4 linked regions of the Arabidopsis thaliana genome follow. The protein of the gene in region 1 purifies or fractionates together with the protein of each later gene. This does not show direct contact. Each region holds a gene or a part of one and is shown on either strand. Other genes may lie near its edges.

The links.
Region 2: the proteins of AT1G54220 (region 1) and LPD1 fractionate together in Arabidopsis thaliana (co-fractionation; one large-scale study listed by BioGRID). This does not show direct contact.
Region 3: the proteins of AT1G54220 (region 1) and AT5G12040 purify together in Arabidopsis thaliana (affinity purification with mass spectrometry, with the first as the bait; one large-scale study listed by BioGRID). This does not show direct contact.
Region 4: the proteins of AT1G54220 (region 1) and AT4G16155 fractionate together in Arabidopsis thaliana (co-fractionation; one large-scale study listed by BioGRID). This does not show direct contact.

Annotation. Positions count from the first base shown.
Region 1 is NC_003070.9:20,244,456-20,252,997, reverse strand, and holds AT1G54220 (Dihydrolipoamide acetyltransferase, long form protein), read left to right. Parts: upstream 1-2,652; 5' UTR 2,653-2,789; coding exon 2,790-2,828; intron 2,829-3,114; coding exon 3,115-3,205; intron 3,206-3,323; coding exon 3,324-3,388; intron 3,389-3,494; coding exon 3,495-3,580; intron 3,581-3,689; coding exon 3,690-3,727; intron 3,728-4,079; coding exon 4,080-4,135; intron 4,136-4,216; coding exon 4,217-4,291; intron 4,292-4,375; coding exon 4,376-4,468; intron 4,469-4,616; coding exon 4,617-4,856; intron 4,857-4,946; coding exon 4,947-5,019; intron 5,020-5,132; coding exon 5,133-5,233; intron 5,234-5,325; coding exon 5,326-5,411; intron 5,412-5,489; coding exon 5,490-5,565; intron 5,566-5,643; coding exon 5,644-5,711; intron 5,712-5,775; coding exon 5,776-5,842; intron 5,843-5,921; coding exon 5,922-6,017; intron 6,018-6,088; coding exon 6,089-6,191; intron 6,192-6,292; coding exon 6,293-6,388; intron 6,389-6,467; coding exon 6,468-6,538; 3' UTR 6,539-6,972; and 1 more. Other genes in the region: AT1G54230 (Winged helix-turn-helix transcription repressor DNA-binding protein), read right to left, coding at 847-878, 966-1,181, 1,270-1,498, 1,596-1,679, 1,820-1,925, 2,013-2,044; AT1G54217 (Ribosomal protein L18ae family), read left to right, coding at 7,993-8,002, 8,174-8,294, 8,380-8,497. UniProt on the Arabidopsis thaliana protein: The pyruvate dehydrogenase complex catalyzes the overall conversion of pyruvate to acetyl-CoA and CO(2).
Region 2 is NC_003074.8:5,784,616-5,792,913, reverse strand, and holds LPD1 (lipoamide dehydrogenase 1), read left to right. Parts: upstream 1-2,388; 5' UTR 2,389-2,530; coding exon 2,531-2,854; intron 2,855-2,943; coding exon 2,944-3,090; intron 3,091-3,230; coding exon 3,231-3,365; intron 3,366-3,482; coding exon 3,483-3,588; intron 3,589-3,673; coding exon 3,674-3,798; intron 3,799-4,044; coding exon 4,045-4,170; intron 4,171-4,268; coding exon 4,269-4,349; intron 4,350-4,724; coding exon 4,725-4,787; intron 4,788-4,890; coding exon 4,891-4,965; intron 4,966-5,045; coding exon 5,046-5,124; intron 5,125-5,226; coding exon 5,227-5,327; intron 5,328-5,432; coding exon 5,433-5,546; intron 5,547-5,623; coding exon 5,624-5,737; intron 5,738-5,906; coding exon 5,907-5,978; intron 5,979-6,102; coding exon 6,103-6,129; coding exon of another isoform or gene 6,130-6,153; exon of another isoform or gene 6,154-6,223; coding exon 6,224-6,406; 3' UTR 6,407-6,529; downstream 6,530-8,298. Other genes in the region: AT3G16960 (plant self-incompatibility protein S1 family protein), read left to right, coding at 650-860, 969-1,102; AT3G16940 (calmodulin-binding transcription activator), read right to left, coding at 6,929-6,958, 7,061-7,354, 7,536-8,298.
Region 3 is NC_003076.8:3,882,691-3,889,974, forward strand, and holds AT5G12040 (Nitrilase/cyanide hydratase and apolipoprotein N-acyltransferase family protein), read left to right. Parts: upstream 1-2,258; 5' UTR 2,259-2,471; coding exon 2,472-2,732; intron 2,733-2,818; coding exon 2,819-2,935; intron 2,936-3,084; coding exon 3,085-3,309; intron 3,310-3,632; coding exon 3,633-3,726; intron 3,727-4,083; coding exon 4,084-4,158; intron 4,159-4,273; coding exon 4,274-4,352; intron 4,353-4,445; coding exon 4,446-4,461; coding exon of another isoform or gene 4,462-4,479; exon of another isoform or gene 4,480-4,669; coding exon 4,670-4,750; intron 4,751-4,839; coding exon 4,840-4,922; intron 4,923-5,003; coding exon 5,004-5,082; 3' UTR 5,083-5,387; downstream 5,388-7,284. Other genes in the region: HSP17.6II (17.6 kDa class II heat shock protein), read right to left, coding at 1-186; HSP17.6A (heat shock protein 17.6A), read right to left, coding at 1,524-1,994; AT5G12043 (uncharacterized protein), read right to left, coding at 6,070-6,204. UniProt on the Arabidopsis thaliana protein: Omega-amidase involved in the metabolism of asparagine. Probably also closely coupled with glutamine transamination in the methionine salvage cycle.
Region 4 is NC_003075.7:9,152,546-9,160,273, reverse strand, and holds AT4G16155 (dihydrolipoamide dehydrogenase), read left to right. Parts: upstream 1-3,140; coding exon 3,141-3,458; intron 3,459-3,700; coding exon 3,701-3,847; intron 3,848-3,971; coding exon 3,972-4,106; intron 4,107-4,207; coding exon 4,208-4,310; intron 4,311-4,423; coding exon 4,424-4,548; intron 4,549-4,780; coding exon 4,781-4,906; intron 4,907-4,994; coding exon 4,995-5,075; intron 5,076-5,351; coding exon 5,352-5,414; intron 5,415-5,523; coding exon 5,524-5,598; intron 5,599-5,681; coding exon 5,682-5,760; intron 5,761-5,878; coding exon 5,879-5,979; intron 5,980-6,066; coding exon 6,067-6,180; intron 6,181-6,283; coding exon 6,284-6,397; intron 6,398-6,489; coding exon 6,490-6,561; intron 6,562-6,653; coding exon 6,654-6,704; downstream 6,705-7,728. Other genes in the region: AT4G16162 (Leucine-rich repeat (LRR) family protein), read left to right, coding at 123-194, 275-346, 430-508; ATOEP16-2 (Mitochondrial import inner membrane translocase subunit Tim17/Tim22/Tim23 family protein), read right to left, coding at 1,536-1,682, 1,781-1,851, 1,932-1,965, 2,139-2,167, 2,263-2,343, 2,464-2,515, 2,607-2,729. UniProt on the Arabidopsis thaliana protein: Lipoamide dehydrogenase is a component of the plastidial pyruvate dehydrogenase complex (PDC).

The sequences.
Region 1 (8,542 bases):
TCAAAATTGCCTTCGATTGAATAAAACTACGCCATTTTCGTCTTGAAATCGCATGATATGAGACGTATTTGGATCATTCGTGTAAATCTCAAATCGGTTTCCATGGAATAAAATAAAGATCTTACTCGATAAAGCTTGAATTGAATGGGATCTTCTTGAAGAGTATCAATGGTGATCTATCACTTATATACCTGCGCTTCAGAGAAATCCAATCGCAGTCGTCTTGTCTCGCCGGAGAAGACGATGTAACTAACTCTCTTTCCCGCCTTTCTATTTTTTTTTTTTGGTTTTAATATTTCCAACTGCACAATCGTGAATATATAGCAATCTAATTGGGCCGTTACAAGTTCTTAGAGGGCCTAAACCAGGTCTAGAGTTAAAGTCAACTTTAATTTCCCCCGTATTCAGAAAACCACATTATAAGCATATAATGGGCTAACAATAAGGCCCACTAATTACAAAAGTAAAATTGAAATTGTAGTCAACTCTCCTAAATTGATCACTGATCTCAGGACTAAAAACTAATCTCGATCGTTAAATATAATTCGTTTAGAAAGAGTCTCACACTGCTTTTTTTTTAATGTATTAGAAAAATAGATTAAATTCTACAAAAAAATTATCTGCAAATGCAATGCACAAACTTTTTATCAACAAAAAGAAAAAGATTACATTGTTGCCTTTACAATCAAAATCGTTTAACCTCTAATCTACACAGAAGTGACAAAATCGATCAGTTACAAATGAAATTTAAACACTTTTTTTTTTAAAACTCAAAAGCCAAAAAAGCTATGAAAGAACCGGTAATCGAATACATCCACATTGAACCGGACCAGAAGATCAACGCTTTTACCGCAGGAAAATCTTTTGACCATTAGCACCTGCAAGGAACAAAGCAAAAAGGCAGTGATGATGATGATGGTTTTGAATTATGATGATGATGTGGTTAAGAGGTGGACATTACGTACATCGGTTAAAGATTTCTACGGCTAACTGCAAGATTATCTCGCTTTCTAATTCTAGCAACTGGGCGTGTTTATCTGCAAGTTCTTGTGCCTCTTTTGCTTGGAACTCCAAGTGTTCTGCCTCGGCGATTAATTTTGCTACTGCGTCCATCTGAGGATTTTCTTCTGGTGCTCTTGGTACGAGAGAAGTACAGAGGAAAATCATTTGACCATTAGCACCTGCAAGGAACAAAGCAAAAGGCCAGTGATGATGATGATGATGGTTATGATGATGATGATGATGATGTGGATAAGAGTTGGACATTACATCGGTTAAGGATTTCTACGGCTAACTCCAAGATTATGCATTCGGAATTTAGCATCAAACTGTATCTATCTGCAAGTTCTTGAGCCTCTTTTGCTTGGAACTCTAAGTGTTCTGTCTCTGCGACTAGTTTTGCTACTGCTTCTGCCTGAGGATCACGTTGTGGCGTTGTGGAATCTTCTCTAGTAGCAGGAACACGTTGGGGCATCATCATCATGTAGCGGTTTCCTACCTGCATTTGCAAGTTTTTTTTTACTGAGCTGACCAAACAAAATTCTATAACGCTATCTCGCAACTTGCATTTGGTATTAGGCAATGTATGGAGTTACCTTCTCTATTTTTCTTTCAGCAACTAGTTTTTCAACCTCGCCTCTCAATCGCTCCCTAGAATTATCCGGTATCACGTACCGGTCCTGAAATTTATATTAACCACAAGAACAACTTTCAAACTAGTATCCAAACAAGCTATACATGTCATCATCATCATCATCATCATCTAAGATCAAACCTGAAAACGGATACTTATAGGTAGAGGGAAAGAGATTCTACTAACATTGTTAAATTTGAAAATCCCATCGACATCACGACCAGTTCCATCATGTTCATCATCTATTGTTGATAAAGCTTCAAAAACCATATCATCTAAACTTAACGTGTACCTGAAGAAACAAAAGTATCAAAACAAACCAGAAAGCAAAGATCAATTTCAAAACATTTCTGTTCAAGAATCCAAAAAGGTCACAAACTCAAAGGTAACGTTCGCATCTGCAGAATCCATGGCCGCTGAAGAAGAAGGCTCTTCGCTGCAAAATAGAAAGAAAGTGGCAAATTAGGGGTTAAAAGATCAAGAAATTGATCGCATATCGTTGTGATCGAGCTCTTTGATTTCCCAAAACTTGGCGTCGATTTTAATCAGAAATTATGCCATTTTGGATTTGAGATTAAAGAACCCAAGATTTCACGAACCCAGAGGAATCGTTCGCAGCTGATGAACTATCTTCAGAATCCTTGGCCACTTAAGAAGGCTCGTCTCTGAAAAAACAAAAGAAGAAATAAAGATTTTGATCATTCGCGTAAATGTCATTCGGTTTCCATGGAAGAAGATAAATATTAAATCTATATACCTTTGAATTTGAGATCTTCAAAAAAACTCAATCGCAGTCGTCTCGTCGGAGAAGAAGACGTAACTAATTCTCTGTTTCCCGCTTTTCTACTTCTTTTAATTTCCCAACTGCAAAATCATAAATATAGCAATACGATTGGGCCATTATAAGTCCTTAATGGGCCTGTCCTCAGGCCTATAATTAAAGTCAGCTTTAATCTCGACCGTACAATTATGCTCCGATGATAAAGTCCTTAACAATTTTGCTGTCTCTTGGTAAATCAGAAAGCTGAGAGCAACAAAAAAACAATTTCTAGTAATAAAGAGAAAAAAAAAACTAAACAGTCCAAACCAAAAAGTTTTCTTCTTCCATAGTTACTAGTTAGAGCTGCGAAACGAAAATCGTAACGATAGTGCATCAATGGCTTATGCGTCACGCATCATTAATCATTCCAAGAAGGTAACTGTTTCTCGATTACATTTTTCCTCCGTTCATTTTGTTATCTTTTTATCTTCTTCAGCGATCGAGTATTGATATTACGAAATTGGGTTATGACGAATTCTTTCTGCTTTTAGAAATTCAGTTGAATTGTAATAATCTAGAATTGTTTTTACTTACGAGCAATGTGCTAAAATTAGCTAGATTTAGAGCTCTATGATCATTTGTGATTTATGTGTCAGCTTGCTTCTTAGAGATGATTGAGATCTGTAACGCCACTTGTTTTAATTTTTTTTGTAATTGACAGTTGAAGGATGTTTCCACTTTACTACGCCGTGAGAATGCTGCAACGATCCGCTACTACTCGAATACTAATCGAGCTCCTCTGAACAGAGAAGGTAATATTATCCTTTTGAGGTAGAAATTTTCCATTTGTACTTTTGTATGGTTTTATGGTTAGTATCTGTGAGACTCTCTGCTTGTTGCTTCAGCTTTTTTTTTTGTTATGGTCTTCAGATACTTTCAATTCCCGTCTTGGTTATCCCCCACTGGAGAGGATTTCCATATGTAGCACCAGCACTGTAAGTTCCTTACTGTTCTCTGTAGCTGTGTAGCTGAGTCTCTTCTCGTTGAATCATGTTGACTAGTTAGCAGAAACCTTAAGAGTTTTACATGGTCTTGATGTAGTTACCGGTGTCCATTATTTTTTCAACTACGAGATCAAATCTAAGCAGTGCAATGGGAAGGCCAATATTTGGAAAAGAATTTTCATGGTTCAGTCTCATTCTCTTACTCTATGTGGCGGATGTGCATTAGCCTTAGCTGCCTGCTTGTATAGATACTTTTTATTCCTAACTATAAACTTTTTTTTCTGCATACCAGTTTGATGCAATCAGCTAGAGGATTTTCATCGGGTTCAGGTAGTCAGCTTTTTCTCCCTGACCTTTAAATTTGTTTTATGAGCTTTTGTTCACTTTACTCTTGTAGTTTCCACCTTGATCTTACATACATATTCAGCGACTCCATTTTAGCTAAGGATAATCTGTTTCACATTGCCATTCATCTGGTTTTACTTGAGCAATATCATATTTAATGACTTTGCTAGAAAAAGGTCATTCCTTCCTTGGATACAGTATCTGGATGACGGCTTTACTGCAAGATCCTACTAAGACAATTGCATAGTGCTTAATCAATTGCGTAACTTAAGAATGCTAAATGGTATGAGCTTTACATTGGTTCATTTTACCTAGAATTTCTGAAAATGTGTTTCAGATCTGCCTCCTCATCAAGAGATCGGGATGCCTTCTCTCTCGCCAACAATGACTGAGGCATGGATCTTTATTTACCTCTTGATCAAAACTTATGTCCGTTTTATCTTTATGTTCTAATAAGCTTTTTCCAATTTTTAGGGTAACATCGCCAGGTGGCTGAAAAAAGAAGGTGATAAAGTTGCTCCTGGGGAAGTACTCTGTGAAGTTGAAACTGTAATGTCAATGTAGATTGAGTCTCATTTCCGTATTTTTATTTTCATGTTTTGGAAATAACTCTGACTAGGTTATGTTCAGTAGGACAAAGCAACTGTCGAAATGGAATGCATGGAAGAGGGCTATCTCGCCAAGATTGTAAAGGCGGAAGGTTCAAAAGAAATTCAAGTCGGCGAGGTATGAAAATTGTCTGCTTTCTGTAGAGTTATGTATTATCATGGTTTCTCATGGGGCTACGGGTATTGATATTAGGATCCACAGTCCATTTGTGGAAATGTTAATTGAAATTATTTGGATAATGTCATTTTTTTTTGCTTTCAAATAGGTAATTGCTATTACAGTTGAAGATGAAGAGGACATTGGAAAGTTCAAAGATTACACCCCATCATCTACTGCTGATGCCGCTCCTACAAAAGCAGAACCAACTCCTGCCCCACCAAAGGAAGAGAAGGTCAAACAGCCATCATCGCCTCCTGAACCGAAGGCCTCCAAGCCTAGCACACCTCCCACAGGAGATCGTGTTTTTGCTAGTCCTCTTGCAAGAAAGTTGGCTGAAGATAATAACGTTAGTTTCACAGTGTTCTAAATATTCTGTTTTTTCTTATTATTCCTGCTTAATTTTTCTTCTTGTTTACTTTATTTAAAAAAACATCAGGTGCCTCTCTCAGACATCGAAGGCACAGGTCCTGAAGGACGGATAGTGAAGGCAGATATCGATGAGTATTTAGGTATAAGTAACTCCATGACTCGTCCTTTCCTTTCTTTTTCTTTCAGACCTTTCTTGCCTCTGTTTACAGTTATCACTCATCCTTGTGTCGTAATACATCTTCCAATGGTGCAGCTTCAAGTGGTAAAGGAGCTACTGCGAAGCCATCTAAGTCAACTGATTCTAAGGCCCCAGCTTTGGACTATGTTGACATCCCTCATTCTCAGATACGAAAGGTAAAACCTATATTACTCTCGCAGCCTTTAAGCCAGTTTCAATAGGTTCAACGATTCTGAAATCTCGTTCGTTAACTTTATAATTTTGACAGGTCACAGCCTCACGTTTGGCATTCTCAAAGCAAACTATCCCTCACTATTACTTAACCGTCGATACATGTGTTGACAAACTTATGGCGTAAGTATAAAGGTTTGGATGATGTATTTTGAGTCGCTGTCAATGGGTAAGCTAAACTAAGCGAATTTGTAAATGCAGTCTGAGGAGTCAGCTTAATTCATTCAAAGAGGCTTCTGGTGGGAAACGGATATCTGTCAATGATCTTGTTGTTAAGGTACATCTTTCTTGTGTATACTTTACATGCAAGCCAACAGATCTTCTAAAATATCCTACTGATATCATGCGTTTTTAGGCTGCTGCATTAGCTCTCAGAAAAGTTCCTCAGTGCAATAGTTCATGGACTGACGATTACATCCGCCAGTAAGTACATTGACAAACTTTTGAATATGATTGTGGTAGCAAACATTGTAACCTTTCTCTATAGGTTTAAAAATGTGAACATCAACGTCGCGGTGCAGACAGAAAACGGGCTGTATGTCCCTGTTGTGAAGGTGTGTTCAAAATAGTGTTTAACCCTTGGCTGTAGCACAAACTTCAGATTGCTGAATTATATAAATTTCTTGATTCCAGGACGCAGACAGGAAGGGTCTGTCCACAATTGGAGAAGAAGTTCGGTTATTAGCTCAAAAAGCAAAAGAGAACAGCTTAAAGCCAGAAGATTATGAGGTGAGAGAATTCATTATCTTACTCACTAATCATATCTTTCAGTAAACATGCTAATAATCTCGTTTTCTCAGGGAGGAACATTTACTGTCTCTAACTTGGGAGGACCTTTTGGCATCAAGCAATTCTGTGCAGTCGTTAATCCACCTCAAGCCGCCATTCTAGCAGTTGGATCCGGTATGCTCTCTCTCAATGCAGAAGAGAGTTTTTTTACTACTTTACCAAAGATCCAATAACCGATTCGTGTTGTGTCTGATTCTTAAAAAAAAAAAAAACAGCTGAAAAGAGAGTTGTCCCTGGTAACGGTCCAGATCAATTCAACTTTGCTTCTTACATGCCTGTTACACTGAGCTGTGACCATCGCGTAGTAGACGGTAATCCAGTTCATTCATCATCATTGATTCATTCATTCATCATCATTGTAGAAATCTAATATTCTTCTTCTTACTGCAGGTGCCATTGGAGCTGAATGGTTGAAAGCATTTAAGGGATACATCGAGAACCCTAAATCTATGTTACTCTAAAAGAGAACCAACCACGCAATGGAAAAAAACACATCAAAAGCTGTCGTAAGAGTCTCTGTACCAATTAGATTTTCTTTGTTTTCCTCTGTTTCTTTCGGGTTTTTCTAAAAAAGACTTTTGTTGTTTTCTGAATAAATATGGTGTGAGGGATTCAGCATTTCCACTGTAAACTGGATTTTAGGATATTCTTTGCTGGTTCTGGTTGTTCAATGTTCATTGAGGAGGGCTGTGAAATAAAACTCCCATTATTTTGTCATGTGAAGTACTACCCTATATGGGATGGGTTTTGTAACCATGCTTGATAGTTGATACAAGTGGATGGATTTGAGTGAGTGAGTGAGCTTTCGTAATCTCTATTTAAAATAATAAAAAAATCAAAACAACATTTTTACACTATATTCAACATTTGAATGGCAAAAGAGTCCATACCAATCCATTATAGTCTTGTTTATTGTTGTAAAAAAAAACTGCTTGTATTCAATCAAAGTCACTCTATTTATTATCCATTGGGGTTTTTTTCCATGTGGTAGCAGAAAGCCAGAAACAAATTAATGTTGTGATTTTGATTTGTCTCAATAACGGGAAACGGAAAGAAATTACGTTTCGATTGTTCCGATACATTCTGAATGTCACTTGATCCTAAATGCAAAACAAAATCCTAAGTTTTTTCCTAAATACTCAATCTCATATTTATTTATGGGTTTAATGATTTTTTCTGATTTATTTTATCAATAATGTTTCATACATAGTTATCTGATTAATTTATTCAGTTATTCACAGTTTTATGTTACACAGTTTTAAGTCTAAATCCATTAAAAATATCTTTTCAGCCATTATTATATCCCAAAAAAATCAATAAAAATCTTCAGCTAACTTCGTCGGAAACGAAATAAACAAATAATAAATAAAATAAAATTGAGAGGAACCAAAAAGAAAAAGAAAAAAACGTTAGACAACGAAAGCAAGAATCTCTCTTCCCGTCGGTCACGGTCGCGAATCTCTCAGGCAATCTTTCTCTCTTTCTCTTTCTCATTTTGTCTCTCTTTCTCTATCTCAGAGGCAAGTTTCTTTGAACAACTTTTCTGGTGATTTTTTTGTCCCTTTCTCGTTTGATTTTACTCTGAAAAATTCGTCCTTTTTCTCTCAGGATCAATAGTTTTTTCTTCTTAATCGCTTTCTTTTCCAGAACCCTCTCATCGTCTTAGGGTTTATATTAAGTTCGTTTTTTTTCATCTTCTGTATTGGATCATCATAATAATTTTTGGATATCGGAAAATGTAGCTTTTCTGAGATTTCTCCTGATTCTTATTAGCTGACATTTGAGAAAAAAAACTCAGCTTTGTCTTTTTTACATTTAATCATTTTTGTCTGAGACAATTTTCTGATTGAATGATGTTCAGGTTACTTGGTGAGAGGAAGTTTAATCGGCGCTACAAAATTGCACTTCTTTCGCCATGAATTCGAGTATGTTCACAAATTGTCCATTTCTCTTGTGACACCATTGTTTGTTTTTTATCTTTTACTATTTGAGTTCCTTGTGAATGTTGGACTCAGCTTTTTGTTTACATGATTCTTGTGACACCATTATTTGCTGTTTATCTCTTACTGTTTGTGAATGTTTGAATATGTTGTTAGCAGATTTAGAGGAACAAAAGAAAGGAAAGTATGTTCTAATCCGTGATGATGCTGAGGACTCTGAGTTAGGACAATTCTATAAGCCCCTTCCTTGCTTCGGTTTTGGAATCGGATGGTTCTCGTGAGTACTCACTCACTCTTTTTTCTTATTATTATCGAGGATATATTGTCTTGTTGAAGCAGAATCTTTTACCTCTTTATGTTAGGTTTCTTCTAGGATTCGTCTTCCCGTTTGCGTGGTACGTTGCTACATTTCTTTATTTGATCAGCTATTACCATAGAGATCCTCGGGAAAGATCTGGTCTTGCTGCCTCTGCTATAGCTGTGAGTTCTCGGATCCAAATGCATTTCGTTCTTAAAAGTGAGTAA
Region 2 (8,298 bases), on another chromosome or scaffold:
AACCAAACATTGTTGAAAATATATTTTTTGTATATGCCGTAATCTCGTAAGTTAATTTTACATCATGCAAATTAATATTAAATGAGTTAAAATTAATAAATGAAAATAATTGAAAAGTTAAATCCTATAAGCTAAGCTATTTTTCTCAAAATGTTATATTTTTCACTTATGATTAGATGAGTTAAAGACAAATTTGTTAATTTTCCTTTTGTTGAATAAATGTTAATTGTTTATAAATATATAGACGTATAAATTAGTATATGTAAATTTGTTTACTTTTTAAAATTTTCAATTTTTTTTAGAGAATAAAAAAGTTAAATTTTGAATGACACATGTAAACATCTGATCGTTTGACTTGACATGTGTAACAATTATATGAGTTAGCAACTTTGAAATCCATACTTTATATAATAAGATATAGCTGTCTTTTTACCAAGATGAGATTTCCTTTTATACCTAATTAAGTTTTACTTTGACTCATATTATTCAAAACATATAACCTATGTAACTGAGTCAACAAAACAAAGAAGCTTGTTAGGGAAACATAATCAATAAAGTTTGGTATTATAAATACAATAAAGTACTAAGTGGAAAGAGTCCATATTCAATATACTTTCATATTGCAAGGAAAACAAAAAACAAAAACAACATGGGTGCTCTAGCAGAACTTGTAGCTCTCATTATCGTTATGTGTGCAAGTGTAACAATGTCCCTCGCTCAAAACCCCATGGCTTCACCACCAAGTGTTGAGAACCCAAATACAACAGTGGTGATACATAACGCTCTTTCAGGTTATTGGCCAATGGCATACCATTGTGCATCAAAAGACGTTGATTTTGGACTCCGACGTATGCTAGCTGGTGGATCGTGATCATTTGAATTTACACCCAGTGTTTCTGGAGATACTAAATTCATTTGCACTTTTGCTTGGAGACTAGTGTTTCGTTATTTCCGTATATACATACAAGAAAGAGACCAAGAATCTGCAATGTTTGGATGCAAAAGATGCGAATGGAAGATACGTGAAGAAGGACCTTGCAAACTGAACAAAAAGACTGGAATGTTTGATCTTTGTCCTCCTTGGGATTCTCAAAATATTTGAATTTTTTTTAACATTACTGCTCTGTGTAGCTACCTTTATTTATCTAACAAATAAATTAATAAAATAAAATAAAACATTTGATCTTTAAAATCGATTTTTTGGAGCCTTTTATTCGGTATATACCGAAGTTAATATAGAAAAAATCAAGTTAACACAATTGCATTTTCTTGAAACACAGAGAATTTAAGCATAATGATCATAAACATGTTACCATTTACCAAATGACTTTATCATGCTTCTTTGGCTACTTGAGCAAGAGGATCTACACCATTTTTAGAGCAGAAATACACTCCAAAAAAAAGTAACTCAAGTCTCAAGATGAGTTGCTAGCACCAAAAGATATTGCGCGGCGCTGGCTTCAACAAAATCTGATCTACGTTTCACTAGACCAACAACTAAAATAGGGTGGTCGTCCTCGCTTTTGTGCTCCAGAATTCGTCCATTACTGGTTGGTGAATACAAAGCAAAAAATTACGAAAACGTACTTGAAGTTGTGAACTGTTTTATATAATTTACCTTTCTTCAAAACGCCATAGAAGCATAGAACGATCGTGTAACAACCATGCACGTCAAATCTCAGGGAAAAGTCCATGTAAGATTGTCCCTTCCTTATCATACATACATGTCCTTAACTAAAGAAGGTAATTTCCAATATGCGTCAACCTCGGCCCACGGCTGCACCAGGACAACATGAAAAATAAAATTAAAAACCATTAAGGAAAAAAGCAAGCAATTTGTTTCATGAATATTTATGCATAGATATAATTAATTACCTTGCTTGTTTTTCAGGTGATGGATTATATAAATTACCACGGCTATATTTTGTAAAGTCAAAGAATTCGTTGATTGGACGACGCTGCAGCGAGCCTTCTTGGCAGTAGTGGTTAATGAGTTCCCATGCGAGTTCCACATTCTTCATCGAAATCAACATCTTGCTGGCTACTTTTAATTCACTACTAGAACTGTCGAGCAAGTAATAACATAACCCTAATGAAACAAATTACACGATCTTATGAGCGTGAAGTGGCTACGAGGTATTTCATAAAGCATTTTAATTTTGAAAATCAACTTCACTATCCAAAAAGTTCCTAAAATCTAGAGAAACTAGTTTTTTAAGCGATTTGTTTTTAAGTTTGTTACAAAATCCAAAAATTAATTTAAATATATATTCACAGCCAAAAATGGGCTACGAGGTCTATTGACCCAATGGGCTTTTTAAGACTTAAACCAGGTTAGAAAAAATGAAAGAAAAGTCGTAAATGCCTCGTGTACAAAAAAAAGTGGTTAAACAAAACAAAACAAACAAACAAAGCGGGCTTTGAAAACTCCGCCTCCGTTTGTTGGCTATTTACACTCACTCTGTCTCCGCCGGTAGATTTGTCAGCTGCGTCTTCCTCGTTTTCTCTCTCTCTGTCTGTGTCTCTTAGAATGCAATCAGCTATGGCGCTTTCGTTCTCCCAGACGTCGTTTACAAGACCAAACCACGTGCTCGGATCATCTGGTTCTGTTTTCTCTACGCCCAGAAGTCTCCGGTTCTGCGGACTCCGGCGGGAAGCGTTTGGTTTCTCAACGTCGAATCAGTTGGCTATTCGCAGTAACCGAATCCAATTTCTAAGTAGGAAGTCATTCCAAGTCTCCGCTTCTGCTTCAAGTAATGGTAATGGCGCTCCACCGAAATCTTTCGATTACGATTTGATCATCATCGGAGCTGGAGTTGGTGGCCACGGAGCTGCTTTGCACGCCGTTGAAAAGGTTTGAAGTTTCTTATATAACCTGATTTGATGAAAGTAAAAGATTTGCTCTGCTTATTATGGAAACATTGGTGATTTTGTTTGTGTTAGGGACTTAAAACAGCCATTATTGAAGGAGATGTTGTTGGAGGGACTTGTGTTAACAGAGGATGTGTGCCTTCTAAAGCTCTTCTTGCTGTTAGTGGTCGAATGCGGGAACTTCAGAACGAACATCACATGAAGTCCTTTGGTCTCCAGGTAAATATCAACTCATGTTCTCTGTTTAAAGTTGCAAGCTTTGTCTTTGGTGTGAAATGGTTGTAGAAGATCGAGCTAGTTCAGGAATTACTCATTACCTTTCACTATCTTATGGTTTTTGGTTTTCCTTTGGGAAACAGGTTTCAGCTGCTGGATATGATCGTCAGGGTGTGGCAGATCATGCTAATAATCTGGCTACCAAAATACGAAACAATCTGACCAATTCAATGAAGGCAATTGGTGTTGACATATTGACTGGATTTGGCAGTGTTCTGGTCAGTACTCAGTAGTACGTTCTATTCTTTCACGTTTACTAACTGTAGACAGGAACATGATACAAACTTTTCTTAAACGATGATCCTAACTCATATCAATATTTTGTATTTCTGCAGGGTCCACAAAAGGTTAAATATGGGAAGGACAATATTATTACTGCAAAAGATATAATCATTGCCACTGGATCTGTGCCGTTTGTCCCTAAAGGAATTGAAGTTGATGGTACGTTTCTTGTTTTGGACGTAGAGTTGTTAAGGGAGCATGCAGACTTGATTATTCCTTGAATGTTTACATTTTGGCGCTGCAGGAAAGACTGTGATCACCAGTGACCATGCTTTGAAATTAGAGTCTGTCCCTGAGTGGATTGCAATTGTAGGAAGTGGTTATATTGGTCTTGAGTTCAGTGATGTTTACACAGCTCTTGGAAGTGAGGTAACATGATGTTTCTGTACTAATGATATTACTTTAGTACGACTTTGTGATGTTGTGTCCTTGTACTTGAGATTGTAATAACTGCAATTAGCAATGTTCTCCAATTTTCTAGTTCTTTGTTTGGTCTCTTCCTGTATTGAGCTTGTTTTTGTGTAAATAGTAGAAAATAAGATTTTAAGGTACCAATCTGTTGGTTTTTCGATTTAAATTGTAGTTACTGATCGAAAACGGAAACCTTTTGTGCAGGTAACTTTTATAGAAGCACTGGATCAGCTAATGCCTGGATTTGATCCTGAGATCAGTAAGCTAGCTCAGAGGGTTTTGATAAATCCAAGAAAGATTGACTATCATACTGGAGTCTTTGCAAGCAAAGTGAGCCTGTTATATCATGCATTGCAAATACTGCTTCTCTTTCTCTATACAGTGTGTCCATGTATTCATCTGTTAAACTTAAATCTATTCTTATTCAGATTACTCCGGCAAGGGATGGGAAACCAGTTCTGATTGAGCTTATTGATGCCAAAACCAAGGAACCTAAGGATACTTTGGAGGTAACCAAATGGAATTTAAAAGATAACATGATCTGATGTCTCACAAAGAGAATATTTAACAGTTACTGGGTCCTTAACATGATCTGATGTCTCATGCCTGAATTGGGAAGATTTGTGCCGTTGGTAGTGGGTCCTTAGAAGTCTTGTTTTTCACTTTTTTGCTTTTCGCTGCAGTATTAACCACATTGTTACTCTTCCCACAGAAATGTAAGTATACACATTATGCATAGGTGGATTAGTAAAGCTTCTCATTTTCTGAATTTATTGTGGCCTTTCGTCTCAAGATAGAATATAAATAGTCATGTCTTTTGGTTTCTTTTCATTGTACCATGTGATTTTCTGCGCTGAAAGTGTAATTTTGTTTTCCTTCTCCAGGTAGATGCTGCTCTTATTGCTACTGGGAGAGCTCCATTCACCAATGGACTTGGCTTGGAAAATGTATGAAATGACACTAAATCCCACCTTTTAGTATTGTCATTTTGGTTACCAGAGAATGTTTAGTTGTCAGAAAATTAACCTTGAAGCTGTCATCTCAATGCAGGTCAATGTTGTGACGCAGAGAGGTTTCATACCAGTTGATGAGCGAATGCGTGTGATCGATGGAAAGGGGACTCTGGTCGGTTTTATTTGCATATACATACCTTTTCCTTGTCAGCAATTCTTTCTATATGCTAAATTCATTTCTACTTGTGATAGGTTCCGAACTTGTACTGCATTGGTGATGCCAATGGTAAATTGATGCTTGCACATGCAGCCAGTGCCCAAGGAATTTCTGGTAAATGGCTTATCAGTAGGAGGCTACTAACAATGCAATAATATTTTCCCTTTTTTCTTCTTGAGCCTTGTATTAAACTCTGAGCTCTTACTCTGTGGCTAGTGGTCGAGCAAGTCAGCGGCAGAGATCATGTGCTTAATCATCTTAGCATCCCAGCTGCTTGCTTTACTCATCCTGAAATCAGCATGGTGGGATTAACAGAGGTAGTTTTATATCCTAGTACTTGTGTACAGAAGAGGGTCAAAAAGAAGAATGCTATGAGCAAAATATGCTTACTGTAACTCCTTATGTTTTGACATTATTGCTAGCCTCAAGCAAAAGAAAAAGGCGAGAAGGAAGGATTTAAAGTTAGTGTTGTCAAGACAAGTTTCAAGGCTAACACAAAGGCCCTAGCTGAAAATGAAGGAGAAGGAATAGCTAAGGTGGGAGAAGCAAAAGTTGTTGATTTATTTATGTCTCATGAAAGAACATAGAGATCTCATTGCTTTTCATTATGCAGATGATATACCGACCTGACAATGGTGAAATCTTAGGAGTTCATATATTTGGACTGCATGCAGCTGACCTTATCCATGAAGCTTCTAATGCGATTGCTCTAGGAACGCGTATTCAGGTAGGATTTCATTGATTAGTGATTACTATTGAATCTAGCTCGTAGCCTTTGATATTGATAATATCCTACAGCGAAATCAAGTCATATACATAGTTCCTGCTGAAACTACTAAACGCATTATTTGTATCTGTTTCTTGATCCCCTGCATGTTTTAATGGTATCTCTGCAGGACATAAAATTGGCAGTTCATGCACATCCAACACTCTCTGAGGTCCTCGACGAACTGTTCAAAGCAGCCAAGGTAAAGCAAAACAGTCTCCTCATGCCATTGATCAGAGAGCCCCTTTATTCTTAACTGCAATCAATAGATTTAAGTCCTCTACTAAAAAGCAAAAGAATCTTACACTATAAGTTCAATTTTTCAGGTTGAAAGTCATGCTACGACAAGGACAGTAAGTGAAAAAGTGGTTGTATAATAAGAAACCAAAAACTTATTGGGGTGGGGAGAAACATCTTGAAGAAAGAAAATTTGTGATTGTACTTTAGGGAGATGCAAAGATAAAGCTAAACACGAACCAGGAAGATCGAAAAGGAAGAAGAAGAGGAGGAGATGATGAGAAACAACCTTCCGTAAGTAAAGACTTGAAAGATATATCTACAAGGCCTTCTTCTTTCTTTGAGAATATTTCTGTTGGAGTCTTGTCTCTGCTTTCACTTATATTTGTTTAATTGTTCCATGGTTTCAATTAGTGGAGATTGTGGTTTTGGTTATTGTATGTTTGTTTGATGTGAACGATTTTGGATGATTCTTCTCTTTTTACTAGTAAAATCACTTGTCTGTCCATTATTATCAATCAGATTCAGACGTGAAGTGACAGATGAACCTAGTTTTTTTTTTTGTCAAACAAACAAACAAGATGAACCTAGTTTAATGTACAAATGTTCATAAGATATTTCTCTGGTTACTTGCAATTTTATTCTACAAATATACAAGTCTAGATTACACCAAAGTCACATAGGAACCCAGTTACAGAAATAGACAAATAACTACAATACCTATTTGTTAATTCTGTCTCTCTTTTTCATACAACAGAGATTAGGTCTCGTTATGTATACTTTATTCTAAACCAGTTGCAGAAAGATCGAGAGTAGCCTTTCCCATTCACATAATTTACAGATCAATTACCATCCATGTTTAACAATCAACACCAAACTCTCTTTGACTCACCTCTCCATAGCCATTTTGATGTATCAAATATCTTCCAGGCAACCGTACTCCAACTGTGTCACACCATAACAAGACTCGTTAATTCAAGTATGAACTTATCTCCGGTTAGAGTTTTTTTTTCCAAAACTGAGATTCAAAAATGTCAGATGATTCACCTGAGCTTCTTCATGAGTGAGTTTCATCCTTCTGTAATCCTGTTGAGCCTTCTTAGACCTGAACATGGCTTGTACTCGCACTACAGATCTCTCGAGCCTCTCCTCTGCTTGTCTCTGGCTTGTCTTGTAGAAATCTTCCTGTGCCTCACCAGGAGAATCCTCCTCTGCTGCAACCTGGAGTCCTCTAAACCCTTTTCTCTTTTGTCTCCACCTCAAAACTGCCTTCTCCAATACTCCTACCGACCACAATATCTTCTTGTACTGCCTCCTTGCTTGTAATCCCCTGAAAGCAGCCTGCAAAATAGGAGGAAATACACTCATGTGTTGCAAAATTCAGACAGACGATATGATAAAGGTGTGAACTTTCAGTCTCCTATAGTTTGTGGAATTTAGACAAAAGTGATGATTATGAATAGCCAAGTTCAGAGCAAACTTATAATCTTGGCTGCTGAATCTTGTGTGGTTCACTTCATACCTGGATCCTAATTGCTTGGCGCCGCATGTTCAGATACTCTCTTCGTATTTTCCAAGTTTGGAACCTGCATTGAATCCGGTAAGCGGCTTCTATCTTCCTACGTGTATCATATTTCCGGAACGCATTCTGAATCTTCATCGCCGCGATTATGCTCTTGGCCTCTTCTTCTTTGTTAGCAAACTGAATCACGCTTGACCGTGCTGCCTTTAGCGCTTTTTCCCTAAACGCACCTTGAATCCGAGCCGCTGCTTCTGCAGCTGTTCTGTATGCTGCAAGAGCATCCTTGAGACTCTGCTCATCTTCCGGTAGAGTGCCTTGGTTCAACATCTCTGCCTTGCAAGCCTCCAGATCGCCAGTGATGTTTCCAGCAATTTTCATGTCTCTAAACTGAGCAACCAAACATTTCTCAGCAAGATAAGCAGCTAAACCGTCATATCCGTTTTGCTGTGCCAAATCAGCTGCCATGCATCCACCAAGATTATCCTTCGTCGAGTCTGTCACCAGGTTCGGTCTTGCCCCAGCAGAGAGAAGAGCAGCCACCATTTTCTCCCTTCCGTAGTATGCTGCCCAATGAAGAGCAGTCCACCCTTGTTTATCACGGAAATTCAACGATAAGCCTGACAATGAGAACAGCTGGACTGACCAAGTGTATCCAAGACTGGCACAGAGGTGGATCACGCCGAGGCCTTTAGAATCATAATCCAATGTGTTGCGACCTTCAAGCACTTTCTCCATAAGCCATTCCTTAAGCCTGTTCTTCAGA
Region 3 (7,284 bases), on another chromosome or scaffold:
CATGTCCACGACGAATGCATATGCGTTAGGGTGCTCGATGACGTCAGCAGGTGTAGCAGCCATTGCCTTAGCGTCTCGCATGTAAACTCGTGAAGGGTTGTTGCGGGTCTTCTCGTTGTTGTGGTCTTCGGGGACTTCAAGCATGTCTTCGAGGATTGAGATTATTGGAAACCTTCCTAAATCCATTGTTAGTTGTGTTGTGTTTGCTTTCCTGATTCTTTGATTCTTGGCTTTTTGTTTTCTTTGATGAGTTTGATGTGAGAAATGTGGGGACTTAAATAGGAGTGGAGATGGATATTTCTAGAGGATTGTCGAGAGAGCGATTGTCGCGGTCTTTAGAAGTTCTTCCGTATTGTTCGAGAAACGTCTTGGTCGTTCTGGTTTTTGTGAACTCTGTAACTCAGGTTTGATAAAATATGAGCCATAACTTTACAGAATTTTTAATATCTATATGGGCTTTTAAATTAGGAATATATCAAGGCCCATTCCATATGTGAAAATAGTTCATGATTCATAAGATTAGTGTTTTAGCAAATTAAAGAACAAATTTTGTGATTTAAGGAATCCGAACAATATTGCTCATTTTAAAGAATACATTCAACTGGAAAGTACATACAATTGCTGAAGACTTGGATTACAAGTGTACAACATGCACCTCAAGATCAGAAGTTCAAAGTCTTAATGATGGAAACAAGACTAAATTAGTATATGCTCTGGTTTCTGGTCAGAAAAATTAATGAAAGACCATATTTATTTTAGTGACCAAAGAAAAATACTATATATGTGGTAGCACTAACTCACTGAATACCACTAAATCGTGTATAACGACATTAATATAAGCTATTAAAGACGGTTACAAATCTGCACAAAACTTGATTTGTCTTAAAACTCAGTTGATGTTATTTGCATTCGCAAATGCAAATTTCATTTAAAAAATAATGTAGCAGATTGAGATATCAGACTTCGTATTATACTACAGATGTAGTAGCTGAAGATTCAGTTACGTTATCCAACATGAAAAAAGTACAAAGAGTTGTTTGGATTTTAAAATCAGAATAACAAAATTGTTTCCTTTCATCTAATACTTAAAGGATAAAATTGAATATGTAAGAGTTTTTGCAGATATAATAACACTGTGTTACTGATCTCATACCCATAAATTACTTCAAGGGACATAACTCCAAAAATATATTTTGCTGACTGCAGAGATAAGGGTGAAATGCAAATGTGGATTTGATGGCCAATGTGCTAAATAGCACCAATGATATTAGGAAAGGATGAACAGTAATAATTTCTGCAAAAACAGAGGAATGACCATTCGGTGTCTTTTTTGTTGTGGTCCTATTTTTGCCTCATAAGCATGGATGGTTCAAGAGAGCAAAAACTTCATTGATTTGAAGATTGAACACAAAGACAAATATGAACAGAGAAAACTATTTTTATTTCATTTTACAACGAACACCAAGAGGTAGTTGCTTATCGATTACATTCATTAAAACACAAAAACACGATCACAAACAAACTCAAGCGACTTGAACTTGTATAGTCTTTGGTTTCTTTGGCTCAGGAGGAGGAAGTTTCGGAATAGTCACTTTCAACACACCGTCATTACAAGCCGCAGAGATCTTCTCCAAATCTGCATTATCAGGTAACTGAAACTTCCTCATAAACTTCCCCATCCTCCTCTCCATCCTCACAAACTTCACACCTTCATTCTCCTTGTTGTCCCTCTGTCTTTTGCCACTCACCACAAGCACGTTCTCGTTCTCTATCTGGACCTGAATCTCATCTCCTTTGATTCCAGGCATGTCCACGGCGAAAACGTACGCATCCGGGTGCTCGATAACGTCAGCTGGTGTAGCAGCCATTGCCTTTGCGTCTCGCATGTAAGCTCTTGAAGGGTTGTTACGAGTCTTCTCGGTTTGTTCTTCAGGGGCTTCAAGCATGTCTTCGAGGATTGAAAATATTGGAAACCTTCCAAACTCCAAATCCATTCTTAGCTGTTGTGTTAACTTTCTTGCTTCTTGGCTTTTTCTTTGGTTTGATTGATTTTGATTTTGATGTAAGAAAGTATTAAATAGAAGTTGAGTTGGATAGTTCTAGAGCAATGTAGAGAGAGCGATTGTTTCGGTGTTATAGAACTTAAAAGCGCTTCTCTAACGTTCGAGAAACGTCTTGATCGTTGGAGAAGTGTAGATGGATATTTCTAGACGAATGTAGAGAAAAGCGATTGATTCGGTCAGGCCCAAGACCAATTCGTTTTCAGGCCCATATGTATTCTGTTTTGGATTTAGTAAGGATGTTAAATTTATCCGGTTTGGTACGATTTCATTCGAATTTAGTGTATAAAATTGATTGAACCGCGTCAATACGGTTGAAACGCAAACGCAGAGGATTCATGAGTCATGGCTTTTGTGAGGTGAAGTATCAATATCATCTACCTACCTATATGATCATCGGACTAAAGTGAAATGAAGTCAGCAATTTCATCGTCACTCTTCTTCAATTCGAAGAATCTTTTAAACCCTAATCCTCTTTCTCGCTTCATTTCTCTCAAATCTAACTTCCTCCCTAAATTATCTCCGAGATCGATCACTAGTCACACCTTGAAGCTCCCATCTTCGTCAACCTCAGCTTTAAGATCCATTTCCTCTTCCATGGCTTCTTCTTTCAACCCTGAACAAGCTAGAGTTCCCTCTGCTCTTCCTCTCCCAGCTCCTCCGTTGACCAAAGTTAGCTCCTTTCTTTTCATTTACCTTTGGGTTTTCAATCATTTCAGCTTTTGATTGATTTCTTCGTTCCATGGGTAATTTTGTAGTTCAACATCGGATTGTGTCAGCTATCTGTTACATCTGACAAAAAGAGAAACATCTCTCATGCTAAAAAAGCCATTGAAGAAGCTGCTTCTAAAGGAGCTAAGCTTGTTCTCTTACCCGTGAGTTTTTCTTCTTTGTATCTTAGCTCATAGCTCTTTGTGAGTTCAATTCTAATGTTCTGTTGCTCAAATGTGTAAAATTTACAAAAAGTATGAGCTAGTGGTATCGTCTCTATGGGGTTTAAAACCATTCAATGGGTTTGTTTCAGGAAATTTGGAACAGTCCGTATTCCAATGATAGTTTTCCAGTTTATGCGGAGGAGATTGATGCAGGTGGTGATGCTTCTCCTTCAACGGCAATGCTTTCTGAAGTTTCCAAACGTCTCAAGATTACAATCATTGGTGGATCTATACCAGAAAGAGTTGGAGATCGTTTGTATAACACTTGCTGTGTCTTTGGTTCCGATGGAGAGCTAAAAGCTAAGCATCGGAAGGTTAGATTTTTTGAGATTAAACTTTCATAGAAGAAATAATGAACTTTCCTCTGCTTTAGGCCATAGAATGAAAGATGCTAATCTTACTTCTAAAATCGTTGTTCATCTTTTATCATCTGTTTTTAGGATCTAATAGACTTAGAATCAGTAATTAGAATGATGTGGTAGTTATGTTCTGGTTCGAGTTCTTCCTCTATGATTCATAAGGACAAATTATGAGGCGAGATGGCCTTGACCGTTTTATGCTTATATTATCAATTCTCAGAACATCTTGTTTTTGATTGCTTGCACTTATTTGTGTTTGTACTTGTGTGTGCATACAGATACATTTATTTGATATAGACATTCCCGGGAAGATTACTTTTATGGAATCCAAAACTCTTACTGCTGGAGAGACACCAACAATCGTTGACACAGGTTATAATCTTGGTTTGCCAAATATAATTCCAGGTCATGCATAAACAATCATGTATCTTACATAAACTCATTGTGGTACTATCTAAAAATAATAATTTAGGATTAAGGATTTAAATTTCCAGTCAGATTTGGGATCTTCTTAGCTCAACAGTGAAATGATTCATTTTCATGCTGGCCTAGTGTTTATGAATAATAATGTTTTTAAGATCTTGCCAACTATTTTGACTGGGGAAATGTCTTTATTGAACAATCAAGTCATAGTAGGACCGTTCACATCACCTCTCACTTTCTAGTACTTATGAGAAATCTTTAACGCGGTGCAGCGCTTGAGAATGATAGTTTTGTTGGTTGTTGCAGATGTAGGGCGTATTGGAATAGGCATCTGTTATGATATCAGGTTCCAGGAGTTAGCTATGATATATGCTGCAAGAGGTGAGTCTTCATATCATAATGCTTTATCCAAATGGACTATCTGCTTCCTCTCTTTTTCGGGTCCATTACGTTTTAAAGAACCTCATCACCCACATGTTTACTTTAATCATATCAGGGGCTCATTTGCTGTGCTACCCGGGAGCCTTTAACATGACAACTGGACCATTGCATTGGGAATTACTACAAAGGGCCAGGTATGATTCACAGTCTACTACATTACGACTTTCTTGGCTTATTTAATCATGGGTAAATCACAATGCTCATCGATCTGTTTTGTTCCATTTCAGGGCTACGGATAATCAGGTACATGAACCAAGTTAAATACTTGTATTGATAGCCAAAAGAGAGATACAAGTTCTGACATTTCTTAATGAATTCATAGCAAACCTGCATTTTTCTTTGAGTTATCAATACAAGTATTATCTTCTGCTCTTTGGGGTTAGTTTTACTTAATTGACTGTTATCAAAGTCATGGACCGGTTAATAGAACTATGTATGCTACTTTCTCCAGTTATATGTGGCGACATGCTCACCTGCCAGAGATTCAGGAGCTGGCTACACTGCTTGGGGGCACTCAACACTCGTTGGGCCTGTAAGCACTAAACTTTTTCTGTGTTACTTGATTGATAATGAAGCTTTTAGCTGATCACTAAACTTTGAAACATATATATTATTTGACAGTTTGGAGAAGTACTAGCAACGACTGAGCATGAGGAGGCCATTATCATAGCAGAGATTGATTACTCTATCCTTGAACAACGAAGGTAATCACGGAAACACCAGAACTTTCTTGGTTTTTGATAGCGTGATCCGCTAACTGAATCTCGTTTTTTTTACCATCTTAGGACTAGCCTTCCATTGAATAGGCAGCGGCGGGGAGATCTTTACCAGCTTGTAGACGTACAGCGCTTAGACTCTAAATGAACGCAGCAGTAACTGTATATCTGAGAGATATTGCGAGTTGAGCACGATTTGGTTACTTACAACTTCATGCATGATCAGTCATTTCTCCACAACTTTGCTGAGATATGTAAAAGAATAAAAATCAAACTTTTGAGTTAAAATCGAACAAAGGCAAGTAAATTCTGCTTAGATAATGTGAACTCCACCCACTTGCCATGTGTTTGTTGTTTATAAACTTCAATGCATTCTGATAACAATGTAGACTTGTGATTCGCAATCAGAATAGCATTTGACTTTTTTATCAAAATATATACACTATTTTTGTGAATTTCTCAGTAAATGTCATTGTCTATGAAAAAAACAACTCATATCTTCATTCCACAACCATCATATTCAATATCGAGTACTTACTTAAACTAAAATTGTTATAACTGGTTCTTCAAATGTTCACACCTACTCAAAACGTTTCATCACATAACTCAAGTCAAGTCAAAGATAGCCATGGTATATTTTGCTACACATCAAGATTTGTAATATGCAATGTAATTTGTTTTAGATGAGAAGAAGAAAAGAGTATATAGAGTATGCAGATAGGTTCATCCACAAGCACAAGTGGGATATAAAAGATTTGAAAATGAAATAACATATAAACTTTTGTCAGCGGCCTCAACATGATTTGAAGATCCGTGGTTATTGTTGAATGATAAATGACCGGACGACAAAATGCAGTTACAACAGCAGAAGCCTTACAAGATTCACCACAGTGTGTAGTGGTTTCGTCTTTGGAGAAGACACGTGGACCAAGCCTATAGGGTAAAGAAAGACGTAGAGTGGTCCATGCTCGTCACAGGGACTCTGCGAAAGAAGGAATGCCGTACGCGTGTGGGAGGCCGCACGTGCTAGGGGCCCATGTGGCCATGGGCTATGCTTCACGTGCCAGGTCACGTGTAGGACCAAACCTCACCACAGTTCGGTACCACCGCGTGAATCTTCTCTCTTTTCTTTGTGTCAGCTCTTATTGTCTCTCCCTGACCAGCTCAATCTCTGACTACCCCGTGCGGTATTATTTCCTTTTACTCCTGTTTCTTGCTCATATCCCAATAACTCAAATAGTTGTTTCCATTTTTTAAGATTCATTTCCATTTTATATCATTTTGTAACCCTTTTTTTGTAAATATTTTATCTATTCAACCTCACTTTAGCGAACATTATCTTACAGTTTTTGTTGCTTTTACTTTATAGATTATATTTCTCTTAAACATACAAATAGAAATTAGTGTAATGTTTGTATGATGTGTAAATGATATCTACTCCCAAATAGTATCACTCAATTTTGGAGTATATTATTGTTATAGGCATAGTATTTTAAACAAGGACACAAAAATATTTTTGCTTTCATAACAATCAAACAAGAAGTCATGTTTATGTAAGTTTCTGTTTTGTACTATATATCTTGTTTGTTTTTTTAACTGTCTTGTATTATTATGTTTAGGTAAAAGTATGGTCCAAACTAGAAACAATATTTACGGGGGAATTATTCGAAACTGGATATGATAAGGAGATGTCAAACGAAAAACATTGGCCGAAGTGTGACAAAGATATATAGAATAGACACACAAGAAGACATAAGTGTTTTTCATAACGAAAAAAGAAAAAAAAAAAGAAGAAGAAGACATAAGTGTTTATGAAATGAGGAACAATGAAGGAACAAGAAAGGAAGGAAGCATGTGAGACTGAAAAAGACGCAAAACAAGTACAATTCCTTAACCGGTCCTTGTCGACCCAACCAATGAGCAATGTGGTGTAAGAGACATTTTGCTTATATTTAAACATATTAATCGTTTGATTAATTAAGACCCTACTTGTTCCTAATCACATCCTTTTCCTAAACCTATATACGCTTGAGATCTGTCTAAACAATATGAGACAATCCGTAATGATATGGCTACATCAAGATTTCGGCAAATCGTTGAGAAACAATTGTTGATGTTATTTTTCTAAAAGAGATGGTTTTGTTTCATTGATCCAATGCAATCATTCATCTCCAATTGTGTCAAATATACAAATTTTAATGATTACTTGATTATAAAGAATCAAGAAACAACTTCTGAGATACATTTCTATAGGAAAATGTTGAGATATAATCTCCATAAAATCATTAGTTTCTCACATTATGAGGAAAATGACATATAAATTGGGCATTGGACAACATATTATTAGGTA
Region 4 (7,728 bases), on another chromosome or scaffold:
GACAAGTGGACAGAACTTGAGAGTCTGTATATAAGATCCTTTTTTTACAGATTACTCTTTGGTGTATGTTTTAAGTCTTTTAACTGCTTGCTAATGATGGGTCTGATGTATGTCTGCCTCAGGGTTCTCTATGCAAGTGGGTTATCTGGACCTATACCTTTGTCAATCGCTCATCTCACAAAGCTGAAAGATTTGTAAGTAGTCTATGTAGTAGTGTTTTATCATATATATTTATCTAGAGTGTTTATTGACTTAGGCTCAATATAATTTTCAGAATGATAAGCGATATGACTGGACCTGAATTTTTCTTTCCACCACTACAGAGCATGACACAGATGAGGCAATTGTGAGTCTTTAAATTTGACTGAATTACAAAACAACTTTACTGGTGCTGAGATTTAATGTTCATTGATGTTTGTCTTTTTGCAGGGTTTTGAGAAATATAAATCTGAAAGGAGAGCTCCCATCATACCTTGGAACAAATACCACCAACTTAACACTCTTGTAAGTTATATACTAACTTATTTTCTGATAGAGGAAATGATACAAACCAAAGGAACCCCAAAGGATGCAAGAGTGAAACAAACTAACAGGAGCAATACCTAGCTCGTATGAGGAGCTTAGAGATGTGGAAAATATGTAAGACTATCATCATATTATCTATCTTTGGTTTGTTAGAGATGTTGTGTTGTTGAAGTAATTGTTCATGAAACTATCTTACTGGAAATAATTTGTTCTTGCAGGTATCTCAGTGGAAATATGCTAAACGGATCAATTCCAAGCTGGATGTCAAAAGAGAAAGATAGAGATATAATGTGAGTTTCCTCCTTTGAGTTCCAAACATCTGCCAAATAAACATGTTTCTTAAACTTTTTTGATTTTTCTGATCTTACGTACAACAAATTCTCAGAAGATCTAACCACCAAAAAATGTGTGGAACAACACATGTAAGAAGACATGCAGTATTTTAATATTCATATGGTTTTTTAACTAGAAATCTCATTGTTTTTGGTACCATTTATCTCTTGTAAGGATATGTTTGCAGGTTCGTAAGTCGTATTTCCTCATTATTTGTTGTTAAAGTCTCAACTTTGAATGTACTTTTTTTGTTAAAGTCTAAATTTGAATTTAGCTGTGACAAACTTCAATTTCACCATTATAACTTTTTTGTTGGTACATTGAAAGTCGTTTCTCTATTCAATGACAAATATTATTCACCTTCACATGAGCGTCACCATTTTGATTTCCAACACGAATGTCGTTTTTGTTGTTACGCTGCCTCACGGGTTATTGTCTGTGCAGCGAGCCCACAAGACCCGCATTTTTATCCAAATAGATAAGGTTACGTAATAGGTACTACTCAAGATATATATAGTGCAAATATTTTCCAAACAGATAACAAAACGATCTCTCTCCAGCTTCGAGAGTTTCAGGAAAAGATCTTAGTAGACCTTTAGCGAATTCGTTTTCACAAAAAGAAACATAACTGATACATGAAACAACCCTTATGCATTAAAGCTTCTAATACAAATCATCTAGAAAACGCTAGAAAGGAGATTAGCAGCGGTGGAAATAGCTGCTCCAGTGAGAGCAGACTGAACCACTTGCTCATGGCTTGTCCTCTCAGACGTCGTCATAGCCATTGCCGCTCCTGTCAATGCTCCAGCTACCGCGCTGTTCCGCTGTGACACATATCAAATTACATACTAATTAAAGATCATGTTCATCATTTGTTCGTTGATGAAAACAAAATGACACAAGTCAAATTAATTAGACTAACCCAATCATGAGCTCCTCCACGAACCTCTGTCATACCGTAAGTGATACCTGAGTATAACCCTGCCGCTAGCCCTACCATTCCCAAATCATTAAATCTCTTTCCAACGTTAATCGTGAAGCGTTAACTTAATCAAATTCATATATAAACTCACCCCATTGGAGAGATTCTTTTCCTGTGTTCTTCACCTATAGGCCAACAAATTTAAACATTTTCAGTTAACTAACAAGAAACCTTATGAGTTACGACCATTCTTTATGTATTATTTTGCAACACTTAGATATGAACACACTAGCACACTAGCACACGAATATTTGACGAATAATAAAAGGCTAATAATTAGCGATTGTAATAAACTCACCAATGCATCAAGAGATTTGCTGCTTTCCCCTGATTAAGAAAACAACGATAAAACATCATTAAGATAAACATAATGCTGATTACATAAGATCATCAACCAAATATGATACAATTATGTTACGGACCTCTGAGATTAGGGAACCTATGTTTCTTGTTCCCTGTAATCTCCGACGGTGGACCCACGTTGTTCGAGTCAAAACCTGCCCCTAAAATGTATAATCAAACTAAAGTACGTTCTCTATTTATTCATTTTCACTCTTACATTACATACTCATTTCTTATACATATAAATCATAAGTAAGAAGAAACCCGCCGGAGTTTCTTACCGTCAACCACGGTAAAGTAAGCTTCCCTTGACACGGCTTGTAAAGCTCCCACCTTCATAGTTAATCCATATTAAGCTATGTTACTACATATATGTTACATGCATATACGACAGGGAAACGAAGAGATATGGATGAAAACTTACTCCGGCGGCTTTAACGAAGGAATCTGCGATACGGTTAAGAAGAGGATGACCAAGATCGAACAAGTGTGCCTTCTCAAAGCTTCTTATCTCATCCATTACAATTCTTCCTCCACTCTTCTCCATTTTTTTCTTTCTTTCTTCACTTGTTGCTTCTCTCTTTCTCTGTTAATACTTCTCTCTTCAACAACAAGTAAGGAGAAGATTGTGAAACAGAACAGCGTTCTTTTGACACGTGTTCTGCTTTTCCACACGTGTCGGAGTCTGCCGTTTGAACTGTTCGCCGTTCTCCTTCCCCACGTGGCTCTCACAAGATAACGTCAGGCAGACCGAGAAATAAAAGGCCCAATGGGCTCAGAGTTGGATATTATAGCCGGGAATTTTGAAATCTCCGGTTTAAAGACGAGAAACGTGACACGTGTCATCTCCGCTTTGATATCTCCGCCTCCGCTCGTCGGAGTGAGACTAGTACAGACTTGTCATCTCCGTCACTCCCTTTTTCTCTACACAGATCTCTCATTCACTCTCTCGTACACAATGCAATCGGTTCTTTCTCTTTCCTTCTCACAAGCATCGCTTCCTTTAGCGAATCGTACGCTTTGTTCATCCAACGCAGCTCCTTCTACGCCGAGAAATCTCCGGTTCTGTGGACTCCGGCGAGAAGCGTTTTGCTTCTCTCCGTCGAAGCAATTGACCTCGTGCCGTTTCCATATTCAGAGTAGGAGAATCGAAGTCTCCGCCGCTGCTTCTTCTTCCGCTGGAAATGGAGCTCCATCGAAATCATTCGATTATGATTTGATCATTATCGGAGCTGGAGTTGGTGGCCATGGAGCTGCATTGCACGCCGTCGAGAAGGTCCTCTTTCTTCCTCTTATTAATTAGGAAGAATTCAAGTTCGATTATGATTCTATGCTTTGCCAATACTCTGGATCAAATTGATAGTGGAATCATATGCTTTGTTTGATAGAGATGGTTCAGGAATGCTTTGCAACATCTTCTTCAATATGCCAATTTTGGAATCGTACTAGCTATTACTGTATTTCTTTACGGTATTCATGATCTCATCGAGTGATTGTTGTTTTGATAACGTTGTATAGGGACTCAAAACTGCTATCATTGAAGGAGATGTTGTTGGAGGTACTTGCGTTAACAGAGGCTGTGTGCCTTCCAAAGCTCTACTTGCTGTTAGTGGTAGGATGAGGGAACTCCAGAACGAACATCACATGAAGGCTTTTGGTTTGCAGGTAGTAAAAATTCCTGTAGAATGCAATTGTAGACGCTCAATTTTGATCTCAAATCATTGTGAAGCAAGTATCATCTTCCTGGCCTTGACTCTTGTTTCCTTCCATTGACTCCCTTGGAAAACAGGTTTCAGCTGCTGGTTATGACCGCCAAGGTGTGGCTGACCACGCAAGTAACCTGGCTACCAAAATTAGGAATAATCTCACCAATTCTATGAAGGCACTTGGTGTTGACATATTGACAGGGTTTGGCGCTGTTCTGGTCAGTATGTTATTGTCTTTGGTTGACTATATAAACTCCAAATGATAGGTCGTTGTTATGTGGTGATCCTAATACTCTTTAGTCTTTTGTGCACTTTGCAGGGCCCACAAAAGGTTAAATATGGTGACAATATTATCACCGGAAAAGATATAATCATCGCAACTGGATCTGTACCGTTCGTCCCGAAAGGAATTGAAGTTGATGGTATGTGTTTTTGTATAAATGATATGTGAAAGGGGAGTTGCCTCAAAAACCAAAGCTTCTCATTTCTTTTAGTATAGCAAGTACCCTAATATTCCTCATATTTTGTGCTGCAGGAAAGACTGTTATCACAAGTGATCATGCATTGAAATTGGAGTCCGTTCCTGACTGGATTGCGATAGTAGGAAGTGGTTATATCGGTCTTGAGTTCAGTGATGTTTACACGGCCCTTGGAAGTGAGGTAACATTTTGATTTTGTGCTAATGATTTGCACTGGTGTGATAGTGTGTTGTTTTTTGCGTTCTCTTTAGTTTTCTGTTTTCTCTCAATAGTAACAAAAGGCTCTTAGGATGTTGTTGTATTGGTAACCTGATCGAGCAAATGGGCGATAGCTATATTTTGCTTAAGGTTTGTGATGCTCTGCAACTCCAGGAAGTGACCAAGCTCAGGGGAACTCTTTTTTTTTTTTACAGGTAACTTTTATTGAGGCACTGGATCAACTAATGCCTGGATTTGATCCTGAGATCAGTAAGCTGGCTCAAAGGGTTCTAATAAATACAAGAAAAATTGACTACCATACTGGAGTATTTGCAAGCAAAGTAAGCCTTTTTGTCTCATGCATTTTAAATTAGATATCTTCCTTACACAGTGGGTTTACGAATTTTTTTTGTTAACGCTTCTTTACAGATCACTCCAGCAAAGGATGGGAAACCAGTGCTGATTGAACTAATTGATGCCAAAACCAAGGAACCCAAGGATACTTTGGAGGTAACAAAATGTTCTGCAGATATCTGAAAATTTACAAGAGAAAATAGTTGTCTAGTTACTCTCACACATGTTCTTTTCACATGCAAAGTATATAAATCAATGACATGCATACTTTTGTAGGTTAGCCAGGGCTTTTCGTATTATAAAATCAGATCTTTTCCTAAAAATTAAAATAATAATAATAATAATAGAATGTCTTGGAGTTACAATCACATTTGAGACTTTCATGTGTTTTTTGCCTGCACTGAAAGTTTGACCATAAGTTCCTTGTTCAAGGTTGACGCTGCTCTAATTGCTACTGGAAGAGCTCCATTCACCAATGGTCTTGGCCTGGAAAATGTATGAATTAACAATAAACCCCATTCCTTATGAATATGTTTTCATTTTCGTTCCCTGAGGACCTTATTTGGTTACTAAAGAAATAATAAAAGCTGTGATTTCCTCACAGATCAATGTTACCACACAAAGAGGTTTTATACCAGTTGATGAGCGAATGCGTGTTATTGATGGAAATGGAAAGCTGGTTAGTGGAGTTTTCTTTCATATAGCTTATTTCTTACCAAAAGTTATATATTTTTAAGCTACTGAGTCACTCTTGGTTGATAGGTTCCCCACTTGTACTGCATCGGTGATGCCAATGGTAAACTGATGCTTGCTCATGCAGCTAGTGCTCAAGGAATTTCTGGTAAATGGTTTTATCAATATTTCACTCCAAATGCATCTTTCTTTTGTTTTTCCTTTTCTACACTGAATACGTTAGATTGACCTTTATTAAACTCTATGCATCTACTTGTGTTGGCTAGTGGTGGAGCAAGTCACAGGTAGAGATCATGTGCTTAATCATCTTAGCATCCCAGCTGCTTGTTTTACTCATCCTGAAATAAGTATGGTGGGATTGACAGAGGTAACCTCTAGACACTCTTAGTGGATTGGTTTTTAAAAAATTGCAATCCTAATTTATGATTTCGGTAATCTTTAATGCAATTCCCAGCCTCAAGCGAGAGAGAAAGCTGAGAAAGAGGGATTCAAAGTAAGTATCGCCAAGACAAGTTTCAAGGCAAACACAAAGGCCCTAGCCGAAAATGAAGGAGAAGGACTCGCTAAGGTGAAGAGAAGAACCAAAAATTGAAATAAAAAAAGATAGTTGTATATAGTTCTGGAGTGACTTGCGAAGATAAGATATCTGAACACTCTCTTCATGTGAACAGATGATATACAGACCTGACAATGGTGAAATCCTTGGAGTTCATATATTTGGATTGCATGCTGCTGATCTTATCCATGAAGCATCAAACGCGATTGCTTTAGGAACACGTATTCAGGTCTGGCTGCAAACTAACCTCTCTCCGGTATTGATCATAGGACTTTAGATTGTGAGCTTTTTTTGTGTGTCTTTGTGTGATGATAAATGCAGGACATAAAACTTGCTGTTCATGCACATCCAACACTGTCTGAAGTTGTAGACGAACTGTTTAAAGCAGCCAAGGTAAAATACAAGAATCTACATTTGCATTCTCTAATCAATAGACATCGAATCTCGATTAAAAGGCAAGCAACTCCTGTCTATATCAATTTCAGGTCGATAGTCCAGCTTCAGTAACAGCACAAAGTGTGAAAGTTACTGTGTAAACATGAAGAATTTAAGAGCAGCCTGTAACAAAAGTTTTGTGGAAAAGACATTTGTACTTCACCAATATTCATCAAAGGACGAAGATTGCGTCTCTAGTTTCATCACGTATATTTGTTTCATGGTTTTGACAAACTGTATCTTTATTAGATTAAAAAAAAAAACAGATTGTGACAGACACAAAATTAAAGTATATTTATTATAAGTCAGAAATCCAAAATATATAACAGAAGAAAGACAGTAAGCAGGAGAACTTTTAGACAAACTAAAAAACGTTTTAGCTTTTTAGCGTCAAATCTCACAAGTCACATAACGCAATACAAGACTATCCACCAAACAAAAAGAAAAACTAACGACAAGACGCTCTATGGAAATTTCCCAGCTCCAGGATCAATTTACCACAACACCCTTTGAAACTTTTCTGAAAACCGCTTCTTAAAAGGTCGAAATTGCCCCTCGTCATTTGCACAAATTTACAGTTCCTCCACAACACAACACACCCACTCCTCCTCTATTATTCCATTCAGCTCTCCTCCGTAGCCATTTGATCAAGTTCTTGCATCCCATCATACTCCAGCTGTGTTACATTTTATAATTTACCATAACCAATTATCATAATTTTGCAAGTGAAATTGTGTTTAATCTATTACGAATATACTTGAAATGAGTAAAGAAAACAGAAAGCAGCAAAAGATTTTTACCTGAGCTTCTTCATGAGCCAGTTTCATCCTTCTGTAATCTTGCTGAGCCTTCTTGGACCGGAACATGGCCTGGACTTTAACCACTGACCTCTCAAGCCGTTCCTCCGCTTGTTTCTGGCTTGTCTTGTAGAAATCCTCCACCGCCTCACTCCCTTCCTTCTCGTCAGGTTGACTTACCTGAAGGCCTCTGAATCCTTTTCTCTTCAGTCTCCATCTCAGAATTGCCTTCTCAAGAACTCCCACTGACCATGTTATTTTCTGGTACTGTCTTCTTACTTGGAAACCTCTAAACGCAGCCTGCAAAACATTGTCATATTCAAAACCA